Xenopus tropicalis: one gene and its partners. The protein of the gene in region 3 interacts with the protein of the main gene of each other region in a pairwise test. Links are inferred from orthologs where the notes say so. Each region holds a gene or a part of one and is shown on either strand. Other genes may lie near its edges.

Region 1 (5,187 bases), on a different chromosome or scaffold from region 3:
CCAAACCTTATGTGTCAGAGGAGTTGGCACATGAGGTTCAGGCGCATATGGTCCAGTGAAGACTTGAGCACTGATTTGTAAAATATTTCATTCTTCACTAGTTTGTGGGGCTGCGCCATATCCTCTAGTGCAGTGCTATGCGGGGCTGTGCCGGTGTGCGGGGCTGTGCCGGTGTGCGGGGCTGTGCCGGTGTGCGGGGCTGGAGTGCTGCCCATTCGGAAACCAAGTCACTGACTGAGGCTGAACCTTTCTCCGATGCACTTTCTGGGGCGCCTGAGCTTGCCTGGGAGCCGATCTTTGGACTTGTACTTTGCGCTTTCTCCATGACAATTTTTATGAAGGCTTGACTGTGGGCAATTCAACTGAGGATCCCGAACTGCACACTCACTGGGAGAACCGTTAGGCCTAATCCGCTGTGCCGCCAGCGCTGGGTTCCGAACTCTTGTGCCCTAGCGAGCAGTCTGCTGGATTGTTATACATGTTCAGGTGACGCCACTTCCCATGATTCCGATTCTTCTGTATATTCAGTGGCACTGGGATGAGACATTGGGGTTCCTTTTCTCCAGCAGACATCGGGCGGCCGTGCCAAAGGCTACAGGGAGAAGGAGTCATGATGGAAGGGAACGCCGGTCTGAGCAGGCTGTCTGGTAGGGGCAGGGGCATGCTCTGCTGTACGAGAGGGAAGATGGGAAGGAGGGCTGCCGGAGAGAAGTGACACCGTGTGGTAGGAAAGGAAGACTGTTAGGACAGAAGCTTGCGAGGAGAGAAATGGGGTGCGAGTCCTGACCGAGGCTGCAGATCTGCAGGAGCAGTGAGAATATGTTGGGGGCCCTAAAGGAAGGAGTAAATCTGGGGGATAGGAAAAGTAAAGGTGCCCGACTAGAGCTGATGAATAGTGGGTGCAGTAGGTTGGTGCAGGGACTGAGGGGTGACAAGAGTAGACATGGGAGAAAGAACATATAAGACCGATGGTGAGACTAAAACTAGAAAAAGGACAGTGCTGCACTACACAAATCAGAAAGAGAATAGGAGGAAGCTGTGACATGGATACAGAGGAGGAAACTTTAGTAATGATGAAAGGATGGCGGGGTGAGAGAGGAGGCAAGTAGTGAGGAGAGTAGTGAGGTCTGTAGGGAGAGAGTAGCGAGTTCGGTAGAGAGAGCAAGCAAGCGGTGGTAGTGGGGAGAGGCTGGAAGGAAAAGGGTTGTAAGGCTGCAAGATAGAGGAGGGAAGCGCTGGGTAGTGGGGAAAGGCTGGCATGGAGAGTAGTGAGGCAGGGAGATTGGAGAGGCAGGAAGATAGAGGATAGAGCGGTGGGGAAAGGCTGGCATGGAGAGTAGTGAGGCAGGGAGATAGAGGAGGGAAGCGGTGGGGAAAGGCTGGCATGGAGAGTAGTGAGGCAGGAAGATAGCGGTGGGTAGTGGGGAAAGGCTGGCATGGAGAGTAGTGAGGCAGGAAGATAGCGGTGGGTAGTGGGGAAAGGCTGGCATGGAGAGTAGTGAGGCAGGGAGATAGAGGAGGGAAGCGGTGGGGAAAGGCTGGCATGGAGAGTAGTGAGGCAGGAAGATAGCGGTGGGTAGTGGGGAAAGGCTGGCATGGAGAGTAGTGAGGCAGGGAGATAGAGGAGGGAAGCGGTGGGGAAAGGCTGGCATGGAGAGTAGTGAGGCAGGGAGATAGAGGAGGGAAGCGGTGGGGAAAGGCTGGCATGGAGAGTAGTGAGGCAGGGAGATAGAGGAGGGAAGCGGTGGGGAAAGGCTGGCATGGAGAGTAGTAATGCAGGGAGATAGAGGAGGGAAGCGGTGGGGAAAGGCTGGCATGGAGAGTAGTGAGGCAGGGAGATAGAGGAGGGAAGCGGTGGGGAAAGGCTGGCATGGAGAGTAGTGAGGCAGGGAGATAGAGGAGGGAAGCGGTGGGCAGTGGGAAAAAGCTGGGAGAGAGAGAGGAGAGCGGAGGGAGGCAGGGGAGTGAGGCAGAGCGGAGAGACTGCTGCAGAGGTGGAAGCTGCAGGAGTATCTGCTCATCACGTGTGCTAGGGGCGGAGACCTGGCACTGACTTTTTTACGAGTATTTACTACGAGCTATCACCCTATTAGCTCAGATCCCCGGCTGTCAGCCTGTCCATGCCTTGCCCCAGTAACCCACTGCCCAGCCCCGTATCCCTATCCTGGACCCCAGTTGAGAATGGAAGATCCAATGGCGGACCTAATAACCACGGCTGCTGCCCGGGGGGAATTGGAGAGATTAGAAGACCTGCTGAAGGGGGCGCGAAATGTGGATGCACCCAACAGATTTGGGAGGACTGCTTTGCAGGTGAGTGCCAGCATGAACAGAGGGGCGTGATAATGACAGATAGGGCACAATCTCTATGTTACCCAGCCCTGTAAATCGCCCAGAGCTCCAATCATCTGTGCATTACAGGCCCAGATACAAAGGGTTAATTTTAGTCAGCCCGGAGTCCACCCGTATCTCACCTCTAGCCCAACTTATTGAAAAGCAGCTTTTAGATGGAGGAGGCAATAGGGCCTGTTAGCCAGCACCCAAGTGCAGCCCCCGGGTCGGTGTGCGCCCCAGCCCCTCTAAAGTTTCACACCTACCTGGCTGGCTGCAAACTTAGGGATGCTCCAGTACAGTGCTGCACTTAGCCTACATTTTGTGTACGGTGTCTGGAACATTCCAACATAAGCCGCTCAGTGTCGGAATGACGGGCTAATAAGCATGGCTCCCACAGACCCCCATACCGTAGCGTGCCTTAGGGCACATGGGCTGTGTGGGCTCAGACTGCTCGGGATGTTCATTAACACTTTGGTTGCCATAGAGGCTTCCACTCAGCAGTTTGTATTTGCCTTTTGAGCAAGGATATGCAGTTATTATTATTATTATTAACCCTTGTGGGAGATTCTGGGTGCTAAAGAGATGGTGGCTACACATGAGATGGCAGGCAGAGAGAGCATTAAGGTGCTATACCTGAGCTTATCTCAGAGAAAATATAAACTTACTCAATGATTAACCAAAAGCGCCTCTCATTTACTGCGTTATTCCAACTCACTGATAAAATATACTGTAACTTCCCCCTGCTATTAAATCACTTATCTCAGATTTAATGTGCCTGATGGAACGGTGCCTTTAATTCGCCAGACTGATAATGAGCTAAATCCGTAAGCTTTTTCTTTTTACCAGCCCCACTCTTTATACAAACAGCCCAAAGTATGGCTGGGTACGAATGGGTACCGAGCACCCAGATCTCCCAAACTCGTTGTTAAAAGTTATATTTCATTTAGTGTAGGCGAACTCAACACATTAAACAGCTTTATACACAAGTCAGTATCCATTCGTTACATGCCAAATGGCAACTGATGACTAATGATCTATTCATTTCCAATTATCCTCCGAATTAAAACTTAAATTGCATAAATAATATCCCCCATAGGTACTTGTAACATTCCGTCTTTCTAAAAGAGCTAGTGGGGAGAACCAGGGCAGAGTAGGGTTTGTTCTGAAACAGCATTTACAACACGGTTGATACATGTAATTAATCATTTCACCCCAAGTCCTTGCCGGTTCTCCTAGTGAAAGATGCCCTCGGAGCAGTTTGCCTTAGCGCAGGCCTCACCTCAGACAGTGCAGTATGTGAAGGTGGCACTGGCCTGTCTTATAAACACAGAGCCCCTGTGTGTGTGTCAGGCCCAGCACTGGAACAGTGTATGAAGTCGAGCAAGGCTGTAGCTTTGTGTTTGACCCCTACCCCAGGCTGTGTCCCCTCTCACTGTCCCTCTCGATGCAATCTAACCCAATCTAACCACAAATGGTTGTGAGCAGTCCCTTTCTGAGCAAGCAACCTGTCTGACAGACCCCAGATCAAAGTGTGTGTAATCTCGAGTAGAGCTTCATTTTACACAGAACGAAAATCATTCTTCATTTCTTAACTAGAGAATCACCACTGTGTGTGTTATTCTGTATTTTAGTCATCTGGATCGCTTGAAACGTTTAGCAAACAGGCAGATTTTTTCCAAATAATAATAACCGGTTTCCTTTCCTTTGGCTAAATAAATAATAGGCTTAAATATGAATGTATTCTTTTATCGAGGTTACAGTAAATGCATAGTTTAGCCCGATGATAATAACCTTGTGCTCTTATTGAATATTAAAGCTGACAGTTATAAGGTAGACGTAAACCTACTTATTTATAGCCCTGCCGTGTTGAGTAGTTTTAAACGAACTGTATGAACAATGGTATTTTTATGTATGTATATTTATATGTATCTATATGCTTCCATATAAAACTTTAGAAGCACCCCACTCCACTGCAATCAGTTGCTGCTCTGCCTAAAAACAACTGCGCTAAATCGTCCACAGTGTACAGATTTAAAGAGCAATTGTGCTGATATTTTCAGGTTTGCATTTTCCTAACAATTGTTAAATTACACATTTAAAATGATATTTCCTGAAGTCCTGAAAAAAAGAGTACGTTTACCGAACTGCCAGTGGCCTGTTTGATCGACAGCCTTGCCATGGTTTAATACGATTGGAAGCAGATTGCATTGTACAATGTAAAGTGCCTGTAGTCTTCTTGTATCTTTAATAATCCTTCCTAATCCCCTGTATATGCAGGCACACCCTGCTCTCATACTCTAGCCTGGGCACACATGTACTATAAGCGTATCAATATAGCTGTAGCCATATTTCTATCTGGAGTGATGCCATTTTATGCCACACTAAGGTTAATGGTACCTGCATTCATTAATTCTGATGAGAGTCAATTTGTTTTTATGTGATTGCCAGCAGTGTTGTCGTTTACATTTTATGACACTGTATCCAGCTGGTATTGTTTAAGGCCAATATGAAGGCCACTATAGTAACTATCCCATGTATGTATAATAAATATATGTGTGTGTGTGTAGCTGTATCTGTGTAGCTATATATTAATAATGTGTGTGTGTGTAGCTATCATATAGCTATATTCATATAGTCATATTTTTATGTGTATTTTTTCGTTATCTGTGTATGTACCTCGATAGACTCATACCTCTTTAACATATATCATAAAACTGTGTGTATGTATGTATGTATGTATGTGTGTGTATATATATATATATATATATATATATATACACACACACAGATATATTGTATTTTTAAAAAGAAAACTATGGGTATGTTTTTATTTCACCCCAAAAAATATTTTGCATA
Region 2 (4,992 bases), on a different chromosome or scaffold from region 3:
CTTAAATATGCCACATAAAAATGACTATAAGAAAAGCAAGGAGTATGCAGGTTAGTTATGGCTATAATAATTAGAGATGCACTGAATCCAGGATTCCTTTTTAGGCACGGTTCGCTTTCGGCTGAATCCATGGCCCTGGCGGAACCGAATCCAAAACCTAATTAGCATATGCTAATTAGCATTCAAAGGGTTAAATGTTAGGTGGGGGGGAAATTTCACTGCGTGCAAATTCGGATTCAGTTAGCACTGCTGCTTTCAGGTGTTTTACATTCAAATCAGTAGGAGGAATTTAGGCTAATACCAGACAAGGCGTAGGGCAGATATTTTCGGCAAGCGGTAAAGCGATTGCTGAAAATTCTGCCCTACGCCTCCTACTTGTGCCTGCACCTGAATGAATGAGATACGCTCGGGTGCAGGCACAAGTAGCGTAAATACGCATAAAAACGCAAGACTTTGCATTATCTCGCGTTTTCATGCGTATATTGGCTACATGTGCCTGCACCCGAGCGTATCTCATTCATTCAGGTGCAAAAAATATCTGCCCTACGCCTCATCTGGCTTTAGCCTAAGGGGGTAATTTTAGCTGCTAGGAAAATGCCTCTGAAACTTGCCCCATATGCCAAAAGCCTTCACACTGCTTGTGGTACTTGTGGTAAATGTCCCATAACAGGACTACTGGTTGAAAGATTTGTACACTATATGAAAACTAGAATGTAAAGTAAAATAAATATTTTTTGGTCCTTTTAGATTGTATAATTTAACTTATTCATCTTATTTTGTGTACCTCATCATGAAATCCTACGTCTTCTTCAACAACCTGATCCTCCATTGATTTCATGACAGCAGTTAATGATTCTGCCACCTAAAGAAAAAACATTTTTCATGCAAAGCACTGTATGAAGTAGACAATTTAGTATTGTAATGAACTAGTATTAATGCACTATTAATGTAGTTTGCAACTTCTTGTAAGGTACATACACATGAGCTCTAAATGGATGTAATGCTGTTCTTCTCCTGGCATTCACAGCACATATGCATGTAGAAATGTGTATGTGTGTAACTATGCACATCTATGTATGCATCTATACTATCTGGGACATAAATAATTCCTATAGATTTTTATCCAAAATATTGGTATCTTGGATTTCCTATTGAAACACTTCTGGAGCTTACTGAATGTAAAAAATGTAAACAAAAAATAGTACAGGTATGGAATCCCTTATCCGGAAACACGTTATCCAGAAAGCTCTGAATTACGGAAAGCCCGTCTCCCATAGACTCCATTTTAATCAATTATTTCCGAATTTTGAAACTGATTTCTTTTTTCTTTTTAGTAATAAAACAGTACCTTGTAACGGGTCCCAACTAAGCTATAAAGAATCCTTATTGGATGCAAAACAATCATATTGGGTTTAATTAATGTTTTATTGATTTTTTTAATAGCCTTAACGTATGGAGATCCAAATTACGGAAAAAACCCATATCCAGAATACCATTGGTTCCGAGCATTCTGGATAATGGGTCCTATACCTGTACTTTTTTTTTTTTTTTTTTTTTACATCTGCTTGGCTTTATGTTGCCATAGATACAGTGGCTTAACTATGGGGCATGGGCCCAGGTGCAAAAGTTGCTATATGTGACTTTGACTCCCTTGTAAAACACACTTTCACTGTCTTATTTTTAATTTATTTCTAAATGTCACAATTTAATTTTCTTAAAATGTTAATAACTCAGCCCATCCAAACATGATTACCTGGAGATTCTGACCCTCCCCAAACACAGGATCACAGGAACTCACTCAGGGCATTCTGAGGGCAATAGAATATGAATGATTTGCCAGGTTAGAGGCAGAAGGCTAAACAGTTGAAATCAACGCCCCATTTACTAATATGGTTCTGTCCTGCACCTTGGTGGACCTTGATGGACAGGTGAACCTTGATGTTTCCAAGCAATAATTACCTGACAGGGGTGCTCCAGCATTTACATATTTAATGAATATCCTGAGAATCCTGAATTTCTCTATAATCAATCATATGATTTTAAAACATTTGCATAAAATGTCCAGTGCTTGAAATTGCCAGTGGAAAATTGATTTATTCCCATTTATTAATGTACTCTACATAATGTATTTATAATCTCTCTCTGCAGGAAAACGACTTAAGGTGCCCATACACAGATCCGCTTGCTTGGCGATGTCGCCAAGCGAGCGGATCTTCACCCGATATCCCCACCTACGGGTGGGCGATATCGGGTAGCAAGTAACTTAAAAAAAAAATTATCCGAATTGGATTACATTTGTGGTTATGGGGCAGTCGGTTTGGGGACCGCATCAACGAGCCGATGCGGTCCCCGATCTGACTGGATTTTCTAACCTGGCCGATCGAGATCTGGCCAATTTCAGGCAAGATATCAGTCGTATCGGTCGAATCGGCAGCTATAGTCGGCCCGTGTATGGGGACCTTTAGACTAAAAATCCAATAGGTAAGTTAGATCACACCAATCAGTATAAATGTTGCCAATTAAATAATAGGCCATAGGATACCATGTAATATATAAACATGGCATAGTTTTGATATAAAAAAAAAACATGTACACAACAGCTGAGCTTTCAGGAGGGGACAAGTAGGTAAAAGTATCAAAAGTAATACATCTGCATTAGGGAGAAAAAAATCCTGTGTCATTTGAAGGAGACATTTGATTCCTTACACAGTAGTGGTGCTGGGAGCTCTTGTAGATGTGCAGGCATAGGTGAAGCGTGATTTTTTGGTTTGTGGGGCTTATTACAGCTATATACTATATACTGTTTGTTTCACAGTCAAATGGTGCAGGAATTAATTGAAACACATACAATGTAGCGCCAGCCTAATACATAATGCCTCAGAATAGTTTCAATTCAATGTCAATGTAAATTGTATCCATGTGGTAACATAAAAAGATAAGGCTAGCTCTGTGTAAAATAGTCCAGAATACCTGGCAAACCTGGTGCCCTAGAACCTATGGCTGGATAGATACAGTGCCAATTCTACTGATTATACCTCACAACACACAGGAAAATATATAGAGCGCAGGTTCTGTCAGTGTGCATGGGCTGTGCTTCATCAGACACTCATACTCAGTCAAGTACACAAACATTAGAAGATTACAAATCAGGAGCTTTCACTGATAATGAACCAAATCACAAGTACCTTATTCCAAACCTGCTGTTTGCAGATATTGCTTGTCTTCCACTCAGTTTAAGTCCTGGTACAGCATTACAGGGATTGGATAAGCTGCAGGGTGAATCCTTCCAGCCTATCCAATCTGTGTTCAGCTGTACCGGGACTTACACTGAGATCAAAACAGCAGTATCTACATACCTACAGACAGCAGACTTGAAATAGTGAATCAGTTCAGGACAATTTGTGGATGCCCATGCCTCGGATCCTGACTGAGGAGGTTACAAGTATAAGTTTCCCGCCAAAAAGACAGAAGCATCACTTCAGCAAATTAACCGGGTCATGTGACCTGTCTCTAGTCCCTCTAGTGGAAGCACAGTTTACCAACCTAATACTTCAGCCATCACAGGACTTGCTAGTTTAGGATGGTGAGTTTTAGATGTTTGATGAGAGGTTCACTGCTTTTTTCTGTTTATGAACTTCAGTACCCAGCATCTTGCCTTTGTTACTGCTGGGAAGCTGCATATCACCTCAGGAGAAGATGCAAAACTAATTTATAGGGGGACCTACGGTACTTTGTGCACTTAACATACTTAATTATTTGAAGGATTTTTCAGACATTAAAAATATAGGTATGTGACCTGTTATCCAGAATGCTGGGGACCCATGGTTTTCCAGATAAGGAATCTTTCTGTAATTTGGATCTCCATACTTTAAGGGGCACATTTACTACCCCACGAACGGGCCGAATGCGTCCGATTGCGGTTTTTTCGTAATGATCAGTATTTTGCGATTTTTCGGAAAATTGTTGCGACTTTTTCGTAGCCATTCCAAAAGTTGCGCAAAATGTTGCGATTTTTTCGTAGCGTTAAAACTTGTGCTAAAAGTCGCGACTTTTTACGAGCGAATCGTAATGGCTACGAAAAACTCACGTTTTTTCGCACAAGTCGTAATGGTTACGAAAAAGTCACGACAATTTCCGAAAAGTCGTAAAGGCGACGAAAAAATACGAAAAAGTCGCAAAATTTTCGTTTTCCAATCGGAATTTTTCCAATTCGGATTCGTGGGTTAGTAAATGTGCCCCTAAGTCTACTAAAAAATCATTTAAGCATTAATTAAACCAAATACAATTATCTCCAGTAAGGATCAATTATTAGTTGAGATAAAATACAAGGTACTGTTTTATTATTATAGAGAAAAAGGAAACCATATTTCAAAATTAGAATTATTTGCTTATAATGGAGTCTATGGGAGATGGTCTTCCTGTAATTTGGAACTTTTTAGATAACGGGTTTCTGGATAATGGTTAAAATGTAATCCTTATTTCCAGGAACAAATAATTCAGGGGTTGCCAAAGGATATTGTGCTCTACTAGCTGATCCTAATACCTTAAATAAGATTTAAGAAATGTCTGTTCAGACAACATTAAAACTTTTCTTTCACCACGTTGCAATAAAGTTCAGCTTTCCATGGCAGCATAATACCTGAGGTGGCTAATGTTTTTTGTGGAAGTGGGTGCAGGTGCATTGTGGGAGAGGAAGTACTAGTACATATGCCCTAAAATATTCCACTAAACATAACCATCCTCATTTATTAAAGATAAGGCAAAGTACAAAGAAGGTATGAAAAGCATCCAATTCTTCTGCATTCCCCCTATGTTGCAGGTTATTCATTCATATGCAAGTTAGAGGGCCCTGTATGGGGTTGTTAATTGATGCACCTTGGAGCTATGGCTCCATCAACAAATCAGTAAAAAATTTGGTGGCAGGTCACTGAAGGAAACTGTTCATTGCTCAAACGATGCATCAGGGGACTACTTCTGTTCGTAATTTTTTTG
Region 3 (5,036 bases):
GATTTAGAGAGATATTACTGCTCACCCAGAGCCCTGGCTAGCCAATCATTAACTCCGTTGGCCAATGCATCACAAGATGTGTGAGGAGAGTATACAGCTAGGCGCTTTTCCAGGGCTTTAACCACCAGCCTCTCCTTCCAGCTTTTCTGGGTGATGCGCTTCAAGGCTTTGAATACTGGCGGATGATAGGACAGAATCATATTAGCGCCCGTATCTATCGCCTCGTCCAGCACGTCTTCTGTCAGATCATTGGTCAGGAGGAGCTTGTGGACCTGGTGCGGGGGACTGGGCTCCACTAAAAGCCCCACATTATCCCAACCTTCTGCCAGAGCTGGGGGGGTGAGTACATTCAGGCAGGAAACCACCGAGCCAAGATCCATGATGCTACGGACGGGGTGCCAACGACTGCAATGGGCTAAATGATTCGAATGTCTGAAGGCCAAACCCAACAACATCCGGCACAATCAGGAATGAACCTGGGAGGAAAGGAAAAGTTGGTTATCAAGCTGTGACATACAGAGACAGGGCAGAAATGACTATAGTAGGGGGTGGTTAGTGTTTAAGGAATACTGTCAGTTAATAGAGCTTCTCCAGCAGAATCCTCCTAGCCATATTCTTCATTTCCCAGGGTGCCACAGCCACGTGACCTGTGCGCTGATAAACTTCAGTCACACTTTACTGCTGCGCTGCAAGTTGGAGTGATATCCCCTCCCCTCCCCCCCAGCAGCCGATCAGCAGAACAATGGGAAGGGAGCAAGATAGCAGCTCCCAGTAGGTATCAGAATAGCACTCAATAGTAAGAAATCCAAGTCCGGCTTGGGACTCCTCCAGTTACATGGGAGTAGGAGAAACAATAGGTTAGCTGAAAGCAGTTCTAATGTGTAGCGCTGGCTGAAAGCTCAGACTCAGGCACACTTTACTGCTGCGCTGCAAGTTGGAGTGATATCCCCCCCCTCCCCCCCAGCAGCCGATCAGCAGAACAATGGGAAGAGTATTCACCAACAATCACAAAAGGCACTTTTTTTTTATATTTGCAAAGGTGCAAAAAAACTGTCCAAGATAAATTGTAATAAAGAACAAAATTGAGTAACAAAGCAAAACCTTTATGGCTGAATAAAAGTGTTATTGTCGAGGTTGGTAAGAAAAAACGTGCTTTTAGGGCATTCAAGTTAGCTGGGACAGCAGAAACTTTCATCAGGTACAAGGAAGCAAATAAAGCAGCAAAAAAGCTATCAAGCAAGCTAAAATAGAAATGGAAAGGGATATTGCAGCTAGGAGTAAAAAGAATCCTAAATTATTTTTTAATTATGTGAATAGTAAAAAAATGAAGCAAGAAGGGGTGGGAACTTTATTATCACGGGGGGGTAAGTTGGTTGATGAGAATGGGGAAAAAGCTGAAATTTTGAACTCTTATTTTTCATCTGTCTATACATCTGAGGAGCCAGCTAATGAAGGCTTCCCTTGTAATATGCCCAGTTCTAGTAATTTAGCTACTGACGCATGGGTCACTCGGGAGGAAATTCAAAAGAGACTTGAACATGTAAAGGTAAACAAAGGTCCAGGGCCGGATGGGATTCATCCCAGGGTATTAAATGAGCTGAGCGCTGTGATTGCCAAGCCTCTTCACTTAATTTTTCAGGATTCATTGAGGTCTGGCATGGTGCCAAGAGACTGGCGGATTGCTAATGTGGTGCCGTTATTTAAAAAGGGATACCGTTCTCAGCCTGAAAACTATAGGCCTGTTAGTCTGACATCAGTAGTAGGAAAACTTTTGGAAGGGGTAATAAGGGATAGGGTACTTGAATACATTGCAGTTCACAATACTATTAGTTTGTGCCAGCATGGTTTTATGCGTAACAGATCTTGCCAGACTAATTTAGTCGCCTTTTATGAGGAGGTGAGCAGGAACCTTGATGCTGGAATGGCAGTTGATGTCATCTACTTGGACTTTGCTAAAGCGTTTGATACAGTACCTCACAGAAGGTTAATGATCAAATTAAGGAATATTGGCCTAGAACATAATATTTGTAATTGGATAGAGAACTGGCTGAAGGATAGAGTACAAAGAGTGGTTGTAAATGGAACATTTTCTAATTGGACCAGTGTGGTTAGTGGGTACCGCAGGGGTCAGTCCTTGGGCCTTTGCTTTTTAACTTGTTTATTAATGACCTGGAGGTGGGCATAGACAGTACTGTTTCTATTTTTGCTGATGCACTAAATTGTGCAAAACTATAAGTTCCATGCAGGATGCTGCCGCTTTGCAGAGCGATTTGACAAAATTAGATAACTGGGCAGCAAACTGGAAAATGAGGTTCAATGTTGATAAGTGCAAAGTTATGCACTTTGGTAGAAATAATATAAACGCAAACTATCTACTGAATGGTAGTGTGTTGGGGGTTTCCTTAATGGAGAAGGATCTAGGGGTTTTTTGTAGATAACAAGTTGTCTAATTCCAGGCAGTGTCATTCTGTGGCTACTAAAGCAAATAAAGTGCTGTCTTGTATAAAAAAGGGCATTGACTCAAGGGATGAGAACATAATTTTGCCCCTTTATAGGTCCCTGGTAAGGCCTCACCCTGAGTATGCAGTGCAGTTTTGGGCTCCAGTCCTTAAGAAGGATATTAATGAGCTGGAGAGAGTGCAGAGACTGCAACTAAACTGGTAAAGGGGATGGAAGGGTTAAACTATGAGGTTAGACTGTCAGGGTTGGGGTTGTTTTCTCTGGAAAAGAGGCGCTTGCGAGGGGACATGATTACTCTGTACAAGTACATTAGAGGGGATTATAGGCAGTTGGGGGATGTTCTTTTTTCCCATAAAAACAATCAACGCACCAGAGGTCACCCCTTTAGATTAGAGGAAAGGAGCTTCCATTTGAAGCAGCGTAGGGAGTTCCTCACGGTGAGGGCAGTGAGGTTGGGGAATGCCCTTCCTAGTGATGTGGTAATGGCAGATTCTGTTAATGCCTTTAAGAGGGGCCTGGATGAGTTCTTGATCAATCAGAATATCCAAGGCTATTGTGATACTAATATCTACAGTTAGTACTAGTGGTTGTATTTATAGTTTATGTATGTGAGTGTATAGATTGGTAGGTGTGGGTTAGGTGTGCTGGGTTTACTTGGATGGGTTGAACTTGATGGACACTGGTCTTTTTTCAACCCTATGTAACTATGTAACATTAGTCAATTTTATTTATTTGCATGTGTTCTATACCTGTAAGCTGCTATTCTTTGCACTATGCACCTTGTATCTTAGGGTCAGAGAACCACTGTGAATTGGCGGATAGAAGAAACTCAGCGCCACTAAAGAACCGCCCCTATATTACCTCAGCCCGACTTCCCAGCGTTACTTATCCCTCTCCGCAAACCTCTGCGGAGATATTGATAACTGCAGGCACTGACCTGCTGTTAAACTCAAATGCATTCAGCGTGTGTCGTGGCAGCGGCCATCTTACTGCACCCAAGAGACCAGATGTTTCGTCCTTTGACGATTTAACAATCAGGACGTCGGCCATCTTGCTGCACCCAAGAGAATGGATGTTTCGTCCTATGGACCATTTAACACTCAGGACGTCGGCCATCTTGCTACACCCAAGAGACCGGATGTCTCGTCCTATGATGATTTAACGCTCAGGACGTCGGCCATCTTTGTACTCACAAAAAATAACATGACTTCACTTTGGCGTGGGAAGCGGTGAGGAACGTCATCTTGCCGCCACGGAGAAAATGAAAGTGCCGCCTTTTGATGACACAAGCGAGTTAAGCTGCCATGTTATTACTCCTTGTTCAATGAATAGTGTATATACGTTCGGTCTGTGGAATCGTCGCCATCTTACTACACCCAGCGTCTGAGGGAAATGTGAGTTGTGGTAAAAAAGGAGGGAAGATATCAGTCAACTCAGTGTGGGTTCCTATAGTCTATATGGGGAAATATAATATGTTTTCAGTTAGGTAATGCTGTTTAGTCTGTACTGGGTTAGTGTGTTTCTTACCAAAGCTTCAATACACTGGGGCAGTGTTTTCCTAATGGAAAGCCTGGTTGCTGTATATGTGGGGGACAGTGTGCAAATCTATGTCACCTATTGTAGTTTTAGACAGGTTTGATTTGAGAATTTGGCTTTAATCCCCTAAAGCTTTTATGGGGGAAGGTATTTCCTGGTACACACTGACTGCCTCTATTTCCTCAGGGATAAACAGCAATTCTAACCTTTTGCTTGTTGGTTGTCTTTAAATGTGTCCCTGCTATGTGCTGCCAGATTACTGGCGCAGAAGAAGTCCAAAAATGTAGAAACTATAGTTCTGATACTTTCCTGCCACCTATAGGGTGTAAATTGCTTAACTATATGAAACCATATCCACAATTAGCTTTTGTGCAAAAAATGTAAGTATTAAACTCTTGTCTTTATGTGATAGCATCTTACTGATAATCTTATATATTTTGTCTTTCAGATCAGTGAGCGCCATCCTTGTGCCGCCATCAGAACAAGCAGTGTGAGGTTTACCTGACTCAGAATGGTGAGATACAAGGGCTGGGGTTAATGTCCCCCTTATTCTATAAAATGAGACCGACTGTAACGCTCTGTTTCTCTCTCTCAGTCTGTGACTCTTCACACGGATCTGGGGGAGATCAAAATTGAGCTGTTTTGTGAGAGAGCTCCGAAGGCCAGTGAGGTGAGAGGATTTGCTTATATAGCCCCTAGATCCCATCTCCCCTAAACCAGTGGTTCTCAACCTTCCTAATGCCATGACCATTTAATACAGTTCCTCATGTTGTGGTGACCCCCAACCATAAAATTATTCCTAAGCCCATCGGAAATATGTGTTTTCCAATGGCCTTAGGCGACCCCTGTGAAAGGGCCGTTTTACCCCAAAAGGGTCCCGACCCACAGGCTGAGAACCGCTGCCCTAAACTGTGCAATGACATTGCTTCTTTTTTATGTCCCCTGTAGAACTTTCTAGCTCTCTGTGCCAGTAACTATTACACCGGCTGCCTCTTCCACCGGAACATCAAAGGCTTCATGGTCCAGACTGGGGATCCAAC
Region 4 (5,030 bases), on a different chromosome or scaffold from region 3:
AGAGTCCTTTTTAAGCAATTCAAATTACTTGTTGGCAATTATGACACATGAATAAAATATATATATATATATATATGTGGCCAAACAATCTTTTTACATTTAAATATAAGTAGAAGATGCCTTCCATGATCCATTAGAAGGGATACAGAATCTGGACTCAAACCTTACATGAGTACAAAGAGGTTTATTCTGTACATGCTTTCTAAAAGGTTTGTTTCCAAATGGGCACAAACTTTAATGTGAAATTCTAGTTAAAAAAAAAAAAACCACAACCAACCACACACAAGGCCCTATGCATTCCAAATAATAGATTCCATCATTGTACTTTACAGAACAGCTGAATTCGCCAGGGGTTTCAGTATTAGGCACATCTCCCACAAATCAATTAAATCTAAGTTTCTTAAGCAGTGCCAACATCTTACATGTAGTTCCCAGGCACCCCCAAGCACAATTAGGAAAATGTTAGTATACTGTGCAAGTCCATGTCTATTGAGGGATCTCTGGGAACCACAGGTAAGATGGTGGCACAGCACAGCCACTTGTTAACTGCCGATATACAAGAGCCTTTGTACGCACACAATATGCTAGACCTTCAATTTAAAATTATGGAAACACTACTCACATGTATTTTTTTTTTTAAGCTTTGTTTTTATTTTCATATCAAACATTACAACATTTGTAGTGATATTATGTTACATTTATGTATTTTATACTCTACTTACAACATTTGAATTTAACGTATAAAAAAAAAAAAATGTGAACTTTTAGCTCATACCTGTTCGTCCAGGGCCTTGTGCATACATGTATTTTTAAAAATCCATCCACACACTGAGGCCTAATACATATGACCTACCTCTGAACTCATCCATCACAAAGAAGTCTTCAAGATAAAGCAATTTTCCAATCCACGGGTCATAGGTGAAGTAGTACATTGCAAACCCAACAATGGTGTATCCTATAAACAAAGAAGAGATCAAATGAGTCCTGAAATTAAAAAAAAAAAATCGTGTACAAGGAGAAAAAAAACAAAAACACAAAAACAAAAGTAATTACAACCACAAGTCAGGAATATTTCACAGTTGTTTGACTAGAACTCCCAGAATGGTGAGGAGAGTTAGAGTACAACTGTTAGCCGTCCACAGGTTGTTGTACTTGACTGCTTCACATCACAACCTTGAAAGCAAGTTATTTTTCCAGTCTGAGTGCTGCTAAAGCATTGTCATTGCATTTGAGCAAATAGCATGTTCTACTTTTAACCAGCATAGCGGAGCACTTGTATTAACATAATACATTCCTTTTACACGGCAGTTCAGAAGATTATGAAAGCCCCCCCCCCCAGATGTACAAATGGGAACCAGAGATGCAACAGATCAAGCACTATGGTTTTCCCCAATTTGTAGCACATGGAAAACAAGGAATCAATACAGGCAACCCATCATGCTGATCACCGATTCCTCAATACTAAAATACAAAAATAAATCTGTACTAGAAATCACAACAGTTCAATCGCACAAGGAGGGCAGGAGTTACCAAAAACATCAGGTTTAGTATTAGAAATGGTCATAATCAGCCAAGAACTTAACTGGAAAGACACTGTTGGAGAATTTAAGTCCGTATTGCTTGATTTAGGTTTCCAGGGAGGGGTGTGGGGGGAAAAAAAAAAAAAAAAAAAAGTGGGGTAAAATAAAATCCATTGAACAATGGAGAATCTTCCGTGAAGACTCAGTAGCAGAGCATGGATTTCTGATCTACCGTGTTTGCTGCTTTAACGTGTCAGCGATTGCCCGTTTGCCTTACCTCGTTTCATGATCATCTACTTTATTGTGTAACGGATCTTTTAGTTACCTCCCCGCCCACCCATGTACACGGAAGGGCCATCCATGTACATGGCGAAGCTAGAGACTGTAACCTGAAGATTGGGACAAATTAAAGAGAAAATAGGATTTAACAAAGTTTGCATCTGCGCACATTAGGGTCAAAACAAATGCCTCAGATTCTGGGAAATGGGGCAAGAGGGAAAGTAAAAATTACCATCAGCACTCTGGGTCTCCTTAGGCACTTCAGCAACAAGACAGTGGTAAAATGGATGTTCTCCAAATCCATCTTCAAGCAGATCTGTACAGAAGAAAAATCAAATGGTGTAGGAGTGAGTAGGAGACAAAAAAATGCACTCCCCAATGTATGTGTGCTTAGCAGCAAATGCTCATGGGAGCAGCTTGGCAGGCAGCCCAGGACACAGAGCAACACAAACTAAATATCAATTGTTTAGATAAAAGAAATTGTGCTTCCGAGACAAGTTTGGCAGAGATACACACCCTCTACGATTCCACTTACCTTTCTCAGTTAGTACTACTTGGTTCTCCATATCTTCATATTTTGCCAGTTCCTATAAGACAGGAAGATTACATCATTGAGTAAAAAGGGGACATTGTGTAACAGGAGCAGTACAGCAATACAGTTCTACAACTGCCTACAGTAGCAGATTAGCACTCAAAGGGGTACTAAAAAGCAGAACAGAATATTCCCAACATCATACTGAAATCCCATTCCCTCATCTCCTACCTCCCTTGTGGGTAACCACAACCCCCAAGCCAAGTTACAGGTTAAGTTGGGACAAACTAACCCAGCAGTGCCAGAAAGCCACACAAGTGACCGTTACATATAAAGGTCCTAGTTTGAAACTTTAAAGGAGAACTGTACAAATGTAAGTACAACAGTGAATGCTAAAGGCTTTCAGGGAATTCTTGTAGTTCCCTACACCCAGGGTCAAAAGCTCTTGACTCAAAATGAGTGAAAGGGCAGTTTGCTACAGATCTTGTCACCTACAGCAGCCAATCAGCACAATGCATTTACGATTCACCTGTTTAAAAGCAAACTGATTGGTTACTATGGGTTACACCACCTGGTCGAACTTAGTACCTTCCATTACAGGTGAGAAAAATAGCGAAACCTCAAAGTAAAATCGCAGCTACGTTACAGCAATGCACCTTTATGAGTCGCAAGATATCTTTACAGTCCCCGGCATTAGCAGATCGTATGATAAATTTGGCCATTTTCTTCTCTTGCTCTTTTTGCCTTTTCTGACAAGTCCTCTGTATGTGAAGAGTAGTAGGAGGTGTTTCTTCATTCGCTTCCCAGGAGTTTCCTCTCCTTAGTCAGTCTGGGACCCTGACCCGGCAGAGCTCACTCACTGCAGCCACCGTGATAAGAAAACTTCGACGACGAAGTGCAAGCGCGGAACCGAGAGCAGGGTATTTATTATGGGAGGGAGCTCCGCCCTCTCCGCACTTCCGCCAAACAATTACACTTGTATAAGCGGGGCTGAATGGCCACGGCCCATTACGTATGAGGTGATGATTCCCAGAAATGACTCACTAGAAGTTTAGCAGGGTTTTTAGAGTGGAGCTGCCACTTAGTGGCCATTATGTTAAACTACAACAACACAATGTTCGGTGTACTTTTTGGAAAGATTAGTACAGGTATAGGACCCGTTGTCCAGAATACTCTTGACCAGGGCCGCCATCAGAAATCACGGGGCCCCTCACAAAAAAAATTTCTGGGCCCCCCTCCCACAAATACAAAGGACTCACAGATATGAGACATTGGTAGCCAGCAGGCCCCCCCCCCCTAGTACATTGGTAGCCAGCAGGGCCCCCCAGTACATTGGTAGCCAGCAGGGCCCCCCTAGTATATTGGTAGCCAGCAGTGCCCCCCATAGTACATTGGTAGCCAGCAGGGCCCCCCTAGTACATTGGTAGCCAGCAGGGCCCCCCCTAGTACATTGGTAGCCAGCAGGCCCCCCCCTAGTACATTGGTAGCCAGCAGGGTCCCCCTAGTACATTGGTAGCCAGCAGGGCCCCCCTAGTACATTGGTAGCCAGCAGGGCCCCCCTAATACATTGGTAGCCAGCAGGGACCCCCCTAATACATTGGTAGCCAGCAGGGCCCCCCTAATACATTGGTAGCCAGCAGTGCCCCCCAGTACATTGGTAGCCAGCAAACCCCCCTAGTACATTGGTAGCCAGCAGGGCCCCCCCCTAATACATTGGTAGCCAGCAAACCCCGCTAGTACATTGGTAGCCAGCAAACCCCCCTAGTACATTGGTAGCCAGCAAACCCCCCTAGTACATTGGTAGCCAGCACAGCACAATCCTCCGGCGACGGCTCCGGCGACGGCTCCTCCGGCGAGGTCCTTCGTTCCCAACAGCACTGCACTTCTGAGTGCCGAACGACGCCAGGCCCTTTTATAAGGTTGCTCCCCGTGCGTACTGACCACCAATGACAGGGGCCCGGAATAGATTAAAGGGGGCCCCAGCTAAGAAAACTGTAGCAGCGCCGGGCCCCCTTTTAAAGTTAAAATCGTCCGGGCCCGGGACGGCTGTACCCCCTGTACCCCCCTGATGGCGGCCCTGCTCTTGACCAAGGGTATTCTGGATAACGGGTCTTTTCTTAATTTGGATCTCCATACCTTAAGTCTACTTAAAATCAATAAAACATTAATTAAACCCAATAGGATTGTTTTGCCCCCAATAAGGATTATTTCTATCTTAGTTGGGATCAAGTACAAGGTACTGTTTTCTTATTCCAGAGAAAAAGGAAATCAGTTTTAAAATTCTGAATTATTTGATTAAAATTGAGTCTATGGGAGATGTGGTTTCCGTAATTCGGAGCTTTCTGGATAATGGGTTTCCGGATAAGGGATCCCATAACTGTATTACACAACCTACCTCTGCATCTGCACCAGAGCCTCAGGGGGGCCATGGACACAAAATAAGTCATTTCCATTATTTCCATTAGAATAGGTAATGGTATGTGCAATACATAAGTTTCTATTCAATCGCCATACAAATAAGGGCCAAGGCATATGGCATGGAGACTGGGGGTTGCTATAGGGATTTTTGTGTGCAGTACAGTTACTTAAAGGATTGTTCACCTTTAAATTAAAGGGATTTTGTCATAATTTTTATGATGTACTTGTCATTACTAAATTACACTGTGTACATAGCAAATTACAATTTTGTTCTTTCCTTT

Evidence for each region.
Region 1: the proteins of nif3l1 (region 3) and cdkn2c interact in binary tests that used the Homo sapiens proteins (3 or more experiments, as listed by UniProt). The two-hybrid records come from large-scale screens. The link is inferred for Xenopus tropicalis from reciprocal best matches to the Homo sapiens genes NIF3L1 and CDKN2C.
Region 2: the proteins of nif3l1 (region 3) and dmc1 interact in binary tests that used the Homo sapiens proteins (3 or more experiments, as listed by UniProt). The two-hybrid records come from large-scale screens. The link is inferred for Xenopus tropicalis from reciprocal best matches to the Homo sapiens genes NIF3L1 and DMC1.
Region 4: the proteins of nif3l1 (region 3) and sat1 interact in binary tests that used the Homo sapiens proteins (3 or more experiments, as listed by UniProt). The two-hybrid records come from large-scale screens. The link is inferred for Xenopus tropicalis from reciprocal best matches to the Homo sapiens genes NIF3L1 and SAT1.

The regions. Positions count from the first base shown.
Region 1 is NC_030680.2:96,077,272-96,082,458, forward strand, and holds the start of cdkn2c (cyclin-dependent kinase 4 inhibitor C), read left to right. Parts: upstream 1-1,749; 5' UTR 1,750-2,181; coding exon 2,182-2,310; intron 2,311-5,187. UniProt on the Homo sapiens protein: Interacts strongly with CDK6, weakly with CDK4. Inhibits cell growth and proliferation with a correlated dependence on endogenous retinoblastoma protein RB.
Region 2 is NC_030680.2:120,485,258-120,490,249, reverse strand, and holds the start of dmc1 (meiotic recombination protein DMC1/LIM15 homolog), read right to left. Parts: upstream 3,268-4,992; 5' UTR 3,186-3,267; intron 2,163-3,185; exon of another isoform or gene 1,754-2,162; intron 863-1,753; 5' UTR 839-862; coding exon 785-838; intron 1-784. UniProt on the Homo sapiens protein: Participates in meiotic recombination, specifically in homologous strand assimilation, which is required for the resolution of meiotic double-strand breaks.
Region 3 is NC_030685.2:7,985,452-7,990,487, forward strand, and holds the start of nif3l1 (NIF3-like protein 1), read right to left. Parts: upstream 3,498-5,036; 5' UTR 3,398-3,497; exon of another isoform or gene 3,322-3,397; intron 3,309-3,321; exon of another isoform or gene 3,210-3,308; intron 477-3,209; 5' UTR 456-476; coding exon 26-455; intron 1-25. Other genes in the region: ppil3 (peptidyl-prolyl cis-trans isomerase-like 3), read left to right, coding at 4,508-4,510, 4,592-4,666, 4,945-5,036. UniProt on the Homo sapiens protein: May function as a transcriptional corepressor through its interaction with COPS2, negatively regulating the expression of genes involved in neuronal differentiation.
Region 4 is NC_030678.2:43,097,550-43,102,579, reverse strand, and holds the start of sat1 (diamine acetyltransferase 1), read right to left. Parts: upstream 3,217-5,030; 5' UTR 3,054-3,216; coding exon 2,988-3,053; intron 2,387-2,987; coding exon 2,335-2,386; intron 2,116-2,334; coding exon 2,032-2,115; intron 956-2,031; coding exon 854-955; intron 1-853. UniProt on the Homo sapiens protein: Enzyme which catalyzes the acetylation of polyamines. Substrate specificity: norspermidine = spermidine >> spermine > N(1)-acetylspermine. This highly regulated enzyme allows a fine attenuation of the intracellular concentration of polyamines.